2 linked regions of the Sus scrofa genome follow. The protein of the gene in region 1 interacts with the protein of each later gene in a pairwise test. Links are inferred from orthologs where the notes say so. Each region holds a gene or a part of one and is shown in the gene's direction. Other genes may lie near its edges.

Region 1 (4,375 bases):
GCATTGTCCTGAGCTATGGTGTAGGCCACAGAGGTGGCTCGGATCCTGCGTTGCTGTGACTGTGGTGTAAGCTGGTGGCTACAGCTCCCATTGGACCCCTAGCCTGGGAACCTCCATATGCCACGGGTGCGGCCCTGAGATAGCAAAAAAAAAAAAAAAAAAAAAAAAAAAGAGGGAGAGAGACCAAGATTTTTTTCACTTGAGTATTGTTTGAGTTTTGAGCCATGTGAAACAACTTTTTCTCAAAGTAGTCAGTTGTCAGATGCAGCGAGCTCATAAGGCAAGGCTGAAGAATGTTGGTTAACTGATGACTTTGGAGTTCCCTGGTGTCTCAGCGGGTTAAGGATCCAATGTTGTCACTGATGTAGCTTGGGTTTGATCCCTGGCCTGGGAACTTCCGCATGCCTCAGGCGTGGCTAAAAGAAAAAAAAAAAAAGGTGATTGATGGCTTTTCCAGGACGGAGTCACGGTGGAAGTAAAGCAGCTCATGGCGCATTCAAAAGTGAGTGAGAAACGGAGTTGTTGCCAGAGAATGCCTGTAACTTGTCTACCCATCCCAGCTAAAACATGCAGAGGAAGCACTTGAACGATTCACAGTTTGTCAACCTCTTCTGATACTTTCTGCTTTATTCCCGGATCAGACGGGACGGTCACACAGCCAGCCATCGGGTCCCCTGCGGCCTGGGGCGCCGCATCGGCTCGGGCCCCGCCCTGCCCTCTCCGGGCACAGCTGACCCTGCGGGCCTGTCTGCTGCCCCGCAGCCTCGGCGCGGGAGTCGCTGCACCCAGCCACCCTGCGGAGGGGTCGCGCCCGAGGCCGAGGCCCCGGGCCGCCGGAAGCTGAGCGGAGAGGACCAGCCACCGGAGGACCGGGATCTCTGGTGGGATGTGGCCGACCACCGGCTACCTGGGATGACAGATTCCCAGCGTTGGGTTCCCGGGACCCATCGGGGAAACGGAGGACGTAACCCCAGGGGTGGTAGGTAGGGGCTGACAAGGGAAGAGGCGCCTAAAGGAGGAGGACGTCCCGATGCGGCCGCCAGGGTGGCATCCGGCCACCTCATCCCCCCAAGCTCCCGGGACCAGCCGCGGCAGCTGGGCGCAGATGCCCCTGCCCGTGGGGAGCGCGCGCGCGGGGGGCGGTGCCTCCCAGTCTCGCGGCGCCCGGGGCTGCCAGCGCGCATGCGTGCGAGGCCGGCGCCAGGCCGCAGCGCCCCTGTGGAGCGCCGAGTGCCTGCTGGGCGGCTCCCGCCAGCGGACTGGCCGGCGGTGCGCGCGCTGGTGGAGGCGGGGCTTCCTCGGCAGGGGGGCCCGGATTGGGCTCAGCCAGTGGAAGGGGTGGGTGCCTCCGCCGAGGCCATCCAGGGATTGGCCAGAGCCTGCGGAGGCGTGGTCTCGGGGGGCGGGGCGGGGACCGGCCCGGCAGAATGCGCGCCGCTGAGGTGGTGGTGGAGGCGGCGGTCTAGGGAGCGGGAGGGTCTTCGGGTCCCCCACCCCGACCGGGGGCCGGGAGGCCGGGGACCCCAGGAGGCGGGGGCCCGCGACCTCCAGGGCTCGGGCGGCGTCGGGGTGAGGCGCCGGGCGCCGAGCGCGGCCCGAGAAGAGCGGGCGCCCCGCCCCTCGCTTTCTTCCTGGACCGCGCCTCGCGGCACCTCCCCCACCGCCGACCCCGCGCCCCGCGCGGACCTGAGCCCGGGGCCCGCGCGCGCGGTGGGGGACGCGGGCTGCGCGCATCGCTCGCTCGGGCCGGCCGGGTGCGGGGCCCCTGAGCCCGGCGGCGGGCCCCTCTTCCCCAGCGTTTCCGCGCAGACGCCATGGCCGAGCCCCTGAAGGAGGAAGACGGCGAGGACGGCTCCGGGGAGCCCCCCGGGCCGGTGAAGGCGGAACCCGCCGGCCCCGCCGCCTCCGTGGCGGCCAAGAACCTGGCTCTGCTGAAGGCCCGCTCCTTCGACGTGACCTTCGACGTGGGGGACGAGTACGAGATCATCGAGACCATCGGCAACGGGGCCTACGGGGTGGTGTCTTCCGCGCGCCGCCGCCTCACGGGTGAGCGCCGGCGGGCGGGCCGGGGTGTGCACACTGGGGGCCAGGCGCCCGGTGCCCGCTTGTGCAGGGCCCAGGTCTCTGCAGCCCCGGCGCGGTGGGTGCCAGCGCATCGGTTCGCGTCCTCCTCAGAAAGTCGAGCGTCCGGGTGAGACCAGGGTGCAGATTTCCCGGAACGTGTTCCGGAGCCGAGGCTGGCGCAGGCGGTTGGCGGTGCCATAGCTGGGGGCAGAGATGGGCCGAGCAGGGCGCTAGCACGGCGTTGGAGTCTAGACTCTACCCCTCGCCGGCTGGCAGCGCCGCCCGCAGGGAGCCCCGGCTCCACGTGTCTTCGTGGGCTCTGAGCACCTGCCGGGGAGAGGAGGAGGGGCAGCTGGTGGTGCAGGTGCTGTGCTGAGCCCAGGACCGGGCACACAGTAGGCGCTCGGTGCAGGGAAGCTGTTGTCCCTGCGTCTTAGAAGGGAGGGGGTGAAAGGGGCCGCGCGCCACTCCGAGCTCCGCCAAGGTCCCTCAGGGCATCCGCTTTCCCTGCGCCCCAGGCCAGCAGGTGGCCATCAAGAAGATCCCTAACGCTTTTGACGTGGTGACCAACGCCAAGCGGACCCTCCGGGAGCTGAAGATCCTCAAGCACTTCAAGCACGACAACATCATCGCCATCAAGGACATCCTGAGGCCCACCGTGCCCTACGGCGAGTTCAAGTCTGTGTAAGGAGGGGCGGCGGGAGGCAGAGCGGGCACCTTTTCGGAAGGCTGGGGCCATAGCGCTCAAGTTCTGGACCTTGTGCAAGGCAGGCTGGGCAACCTCCCACCATCCCAAGACCAGGGCTCCCTTGGGGTTTTGCCGGGGCCACCCGAGATTCCTCCGGAAGAGCGTGAGGTAGCTGCGTAGGATGGCAACGCGCGGGCTGGCAGAGGGAAGCCCCGCATTCCGTGTCTACCATGGCTGCTCCCCTAGCAGACATCACTAATCAATCACAGACTACGGAAGCCCCTCCCGTCTCCATCACCGTCTTCCATGAGCCACTACCAGACCTCCCCCGACAAAACCTATTGGCCAGGCGGGTTTAGCCCAAGCCCACCTTTTCTCTGGTGGCGACACTAGTAGTTTCCCTTAAGTTCATGGAAAGTTGTAGGACATCTAGAATCTTCACACCACCTGGGTGGCGCCTACAGCATCTGAGAGTTAGGCCCCGACCCGTCTGGAGCTGGGAGAGCTGGGTGAGGATGGGGCTGGAGCGTCACCAGGACCCCCCGCCCCCCGCCTCTCCCCTGCCCTCAGCTACGTGGTCCTGGACCTGATGGAGAGCGACCTGCACCAGATCATCCACTCCTCGCAGCCGCTGACGCTGGAGCACGTGCGCTACTTCCTGTACCAGCTGCTGCGGGGCCTCAAGTACATGCACTCGGCTCAGGTCATCCACCGCGACCTCAAGCCGTCCAACCTGCTGGTGAATGAGAACTGCGAGCTGAAGATCGGGGACTTTGGCATGGCCCGCGGCCTGTGCACCTCGCCCGCGGAGCACCAGTACTTCATGACCGAGTACGTGGCCACGCGCTGGTACCGCGCCCCCGAGCTCATGCTCTCGCTGCACGAGTACACGCAGGCCATCGACCTGTGGTCCGTGGGCTGCATCTTTGGGGAGATGCTGGCCCGGCGCCAGCTCTTCCCGGGCAAAAACTACGTGCACCAGCTGCAGCTGATCATGATGGTGCTGGGCACCCCGTCGCCGGCCGTGATTCAGGCCGTGGGGGCGGAGCGGGTGCGGGCCTACATCCAGAGCCTGCCGCCTCGCCAGCCCGTGCCCTGGGAGACCGTGTACCCGGGGGCCGACCGCCAGGCCCTCTCCCTTCTGGGCCACATGCTGCGTTTTGAGCCCAGTGCCCGCATCTCAGCCGCTGCCGCCCTCCGTCACCCCTTCCTGGCCAAGTACCACGACCCGGATGACGAGCCCGACTGTGCCCCGCCCTTTGACTTTGCCTTTGACCGTGAAGCCCTCACCCGGGAGCGCATCAAGGAGGCCATTGTGGCCGAGATCGAGGACTTCCACGCGCGGCGAGAGGGCATCCGCCAGCAGATCCGCTTCCAGCCTTCCCTGCAGCCTGTGGCCAGTGAGCCCGGCTGCCCCGACGTTGAGATGCCCAGTCCCTGGGCTCCCAGCGGGGACTGTGCCATGGAGTCCCCTCCGCCGGCCCCACTGCCGTGCACCGGCCCTGCGCCCGACACCATCGATCTGACCCTGCAGCCACCCCCGCCGGCCAGTGAGCCAGCCCCTCCAAAGAGGGAGGGTGCCATCTCGGACAACACCAAGGCCGCCCTCAAGGCCGCCCTGCT
Region 2 (4,332 bases), on another chromosome or scaffold:
GAATCATAGGCAGTGACCACTCTCCTTTGTTCCTGCCCCAGGCCTACCTCCTCATTGAGGAGGACATCCGGGACCTCGCTGCCAGCGATGACTACAGGTAAAACCAGCGGTCTGTCCCCTACCCTTCCCCCTGCCTCACAGTAGCCCCTGGGATGAGCCTGGACCTACATCTTCCCTTGCTCCAACTCTCCTCTTCAATGTCTGTCCCAGAGGATGCCTGGACCTGAAGTTAGAGGAGCTGAAGTCCTTTGTCCTACCCTCCTGGATGGTTGAGAAGATGCGAAAGTACATGGAGACACTACGGACAGAGAACGAGCACCGCGCTGTTGAAGCACCTCCACAGACCTGAAGCCAGGTCCCCTGGCTACACTTGGCAGCCCTCCTTTAAGGCCCTCTTACCCACATGGCTGAGGTCACTGCTGGGACTGCTTCTAGATGGATCTCAGCAGCATTAAGCTATGCCTGGGCTAGTTTGTAGTGACTCACTGCAGAGCACCCCCAGACTGGCATGTGGTTCTATATTTGTAAAGTTTTTGGGATAAGAAGCAATTAAACAGTTTGTAATAAACACAGATGGTGAGCCTGCTGTGAAGTCTGCCTCTGGGGGCTGACAAAATATCAAGGGCTCTCCCTAGAGGAAGTGGGTGTAGGGAATAAAGGCCCAAGCACCCCTCCCCCATCCCAGGAAGCCCAGTGGCCTGTGCGTATCTGCTCCGTGAGAAACTGGGAACAGCCTGTACCTTGCTGCCAGCCTTTCCTGTCCCTGTTTATCTCCTCACCCAACTAAGGCATGGGAGTAGCAGAATGTGACGGCTGGGATCATGGACATTTGATGACAAACCAGCAGGAAAATGTAAGGCGGCTTTTATTACCCCCGTTTTAAGGTTAAAACACGAAATTAAGTGCCTAGGGTAGCACAGGAAGCCGTTGGAGAGGCCACCGTTGAACCTGTTTTCCAGTAGGGGGTCTCTGGCTCTGGCCCTCGGCCACTAGTTTTTACCCTCGCCTGACGGTTCAGACCCTTAAGGCCCTAACCAAAGTGCCCAGGACATTAATAACAAGTGGAGGAGCTGGGGTATCCGGTTTGGGGGATAAGTACCAGGGCCCCGAAATCGGAGACCCTCCCTTCTGCGAGCAGGGAGTCCTAAGCCGGCGTGCGGTAGTAGCCAAGGGATTCATCCCACGTGGATGTCTTCTAGGCCATTTAATGGTCGGCGTTTTCCAAAGGCCACCAATCCACTACAGATTCGTTAGTTAATGACAGCCTCTCTTACCAATCGCCCATCTGAAGAGGGATCCAGCCGCCCAATAGTGGTGCGCTGGTGGGTGGATGCAGCAGTGACAGAGCGCCCCATTGGCTGGATTAAACCCAAGCGAGCCACTGATTGGCCGGCACCTCCGGAGGGTTACAATTCAAACGCGGGCGGGCGGGACCGCGGCCCTGCAGTTGCAGCCGTGGTCTCCGGATACCCTGAGATCCTGTCTCCCTCCCAGCGCTGCCCAGATGGCTTCCCAGAACCGCGACCCAGCCGCCGCCAGTTTCGCGGCCGCCCGTAAAGGAGCCGAGCCCAGCGGGGGTGCCGCTCGGGGCCCCGTGGGCAAGAGGTGAGTGGTGCCGAGGGAACACTTGCCGGGCCTGGCACGCCCTAGGCATTTGAAGCCCAGAGCAAAGACTTCCGGGGACCCCCACATTCTCCTGGAGCAGCTGAGGTATGAGAGGTAGAGGTACACGCCAGGAGATCGCCTACTTCTGAAGGACGACAGAAGGGGTAGGGATGCTGCCAGGATCCTCCGTGGATGAGCCAAGATGAAGATGCCCTGGGGACCCTCTGTGGCTTGGCTGGAGGGCGGCGGGGAAGGGGGCTAGAAGGTGAGAAATTGAGATCCTGCACAGAGAGAGACGCCAGAGAAGCAGAATTAGGGGTTAAGAATAAGCCAGAGCTCTCCTTCCGGGAGCCTGGCATTAGGAAGGGTGTGGACTCACTAAGACCCCCCTGTGGAAATGGGGGTGACCATGCCCACAGCTAAGTCCGACCTCAGGGTAGAGGGAAACCTCCGTGACAGCTGCTCCAGAGAGATTGGGATGGGAAGAGATGCACCTCCTGGAGCCCTGGACTCTCAGATGACCCCCAGATGCTCTTTTCACAGGCTACAGCAGGAACTGATGACCCTCATGGTAAGTGACTGGTGCCCGGATACCCAACCAGTTGGTCTCCCCTCCCACCTCCCAGTCACTTATCAGTAGCCTCCTTTCCTAGCTCCGGCTCTTTGATAGGCATGGGGTAAAAAGATGAGTCCAGCTTGCTCTCCTCTGGGAAGAAGTTAACACACCCCACCTACACATCTTCCCCCCAGGCATCTTTACTCCCAGTCCCATCTTGCCACAAAGAAGTTATCCTTAAAGTACAGCTCTCTTACGAGGCCTTCCCTCTGTCCTTCCTGGCTCTACTTCCCTGTCCTAAAATTTACCTACACCCAACTCTTCATCCTAAATATTTCTAATCCCATCCTACCTTGGAATGCTTCCTTCGGGCCAGTCTTTTCTACATTAACCCTGGATATTCAACTCAAATCCTTCAGTGCCCACGCTGTTTATCTTCCCAGCCTGTGAATAGTCTCTGGGCTTTGTGTCCAACCAGCACTCAATGGCATGTCAAATTGAATTCCCAGCAACCAGCAAAATTGTGGATACAAAGCTGCCTTCTTCTTCCCCCACACAACCCCTCCCTCTTAGGCTGGTGATAAACCTAATCCCAGTCCTCCCGGGGGGCACATTCAGCCCCCAGGATCTCCCCACTTCCTCAGAAGAGCCTATCAATCAATTTGGCCTGGTTGCTCCATTCTGGGTCCAGATGTGATGAGGTTAAGGGGCAGGGGCTCCCTCACCCACACCCTCCCCTGCAAGAGCACACTCACTCTTCAGCCCAGCAAGTGTTGTGTTTCTTCCCCAGATGTCTGGCGACAAAGGAATTTCTGCCTTCCCTGAGTCAGACAACCTTTTCAAATGGGTGGGGACCATCCATGGAGCAGCCGGCACAGTAAGTGTAGGGGTCGGAGTAGGTGAGGGTGACTCTGCAGAGTCTGGGGAGAGGTGGGAGGTGAAATCCAGGTGCCAGTTCTGCGTTGAGTCTTCTCACCTGGTGGGACACTCCCCTGTGTCTTCCTGGAGCCCTGAGCCTGTGGCCCTGCTCTCCATCCGCGCAGTAAGGCGGGGTCTCCATCTTAGCTACTTCCAGGGGCCAGACGGCAAGGAAAAGAATGAAGGGCAATTGAGGGTTTAGGCCAGTGGGCCCTCGCCCAAAGGGTCGCAATGTCCCACCAGCTAGGCGGGAAGGCACCACCAGTTTAATGCTTTGTCTTCTGCCGAGTCCCAGACAAACTCGGGGGTCTTGACAAGCCCCTTACGTGGGGCCTGAGCTGGAACTGAGGCTCAGGCAAAGAGGCTTACTCCCCAGTCTCTCTCTCTCCAGGTATATGAAGACCTGAGGTATAAGCTCTCTCTGGAGTTCCCCAGCGGCTACCCTTACAACGCGCCCACAGTGAAGTTCCTCACGCCCTGCTACCACCCCAACGTGGACACCCAAGGAAACATCTGCCTGGACATCCTGAAAGACAAGTGGTCCGCCCTGTATGACGTCAGGACCATCCTGCTCTCCATCCAGAGCCTGCTCGGAGGTGACTGCGGAGACGGCCTCTCCCCCCCAACCTGGGAGCCTGTTCCCGGGTTGGACAGCCTCTTCTAGCCTCTTCTACCCCGACCTGACCTTGCTCTTTGTCTCCATCCACAGAACCCAACATCGATAGCCCTCTGAACACACATGCCGCCGAGCTCTGGAAAAACCCCACAGGTGGGTCCTTCATCCTTCTCAGGCACCGAGCCATCCCTCCCCAACCATCAAAGGCTCCCCCCAGCTACTGAAGGATTCCAGTGACTTGGGAATGTGTCTGGATGACTGGGGGGTGGGGGGGGTTCAACCAGGTAACCCAGTTCCACCTCTGCCTTGGTGTTTCTGGTTTGCCTGTTTGCTATAAAATCAGAATTTGTCGCATTCATGTAGGTTGAGGGGCTTTTTCAGTAGAAGGCAAAGCTTTGTGCGAACAACTTGCTTGCTGAGGGCCCCAAGTCTCCTCCCCAGCTGGGTGGGCAGCCGGGGGACAGTTCTGTTGGGCTGGGAAACCCTTCCCCAACCCCCCAAACTCCTCCCACAGCTGTATCCTTGCTGCCCTCTTGCCAACCTTAACCCTTGTGCCCATGGCTTACTGAGACCTCCTCGTTCTCTTCCAGCCTTTAAGAAGTACCTGCAGGAAACCTACTCCAAGCAGGTCTCCAGC

Evidence for each region.
Region 2: the proteins of MAPK7 (region 1) and UBE2C interact in binary tests that used the Homo sapiens proteins (3 or more experiments, as listed by UniProt). The two-hybrid records come from large-scale screens. The link is inferred for Sus scrofa from reciprocal best matches to the Homo sapiens genes MAPK7 and UBE2C.

Annotation. Positions count from the first base shown.
Region 1 is NC_010454.4:60,145,808-60,150,182, reverse strand, and holds the start of MAPK7 (mitogen-activated protein kinase 7), read left to right. Parts: upstream 1-1,439; 5' UTR 1,440-1,814; coding exon 1,815-2,046; intron 2,047-2,582; coding exon 2,583-2,748; intron 2,749-3,322; coding exon 3,323-4,375. UniProt on the Homo sapiens protein: Plays a role in various cellular processes such as proliferation, differentiation and cell survival. The upstream activator of MAPK7 is the MAPK kinase MAP2K5.
Region 2 is NC_010459.5:48,016,985-48,021,316, forward strand, and holds the start of UBE2C (ubiquitin-conjugating enzyme E2 C), read left to right. Parts: upstream 1-1,418; 5' UTR 1,419-1,504; coding exon 1,505-1,605; intron 1,606-2,148; coding exon 2,149-2,176; intron 2,177-2,951; coding exon 2,952-3,038; intron 3,039-3,470; coding exon 3,471-3,675; intron 3,676-3,788; coding exon 3,789-3,848; intron 3,849-4,285; coding exon 4,286-4,332. Other genes in the region: DNTTIP1 (deoxynucleotidyltransferase terminal-interacting protein 1), read left to right, coding at 42-97, 211-349. UniProt on the Homo sapiens protein: Accepts ubiquitin from the E1 complex and catalyzes its covalent attachment to other proteins. In vitro catalyzes 'Lys-11'- and 'Lys-48'-linked polyubiquitination.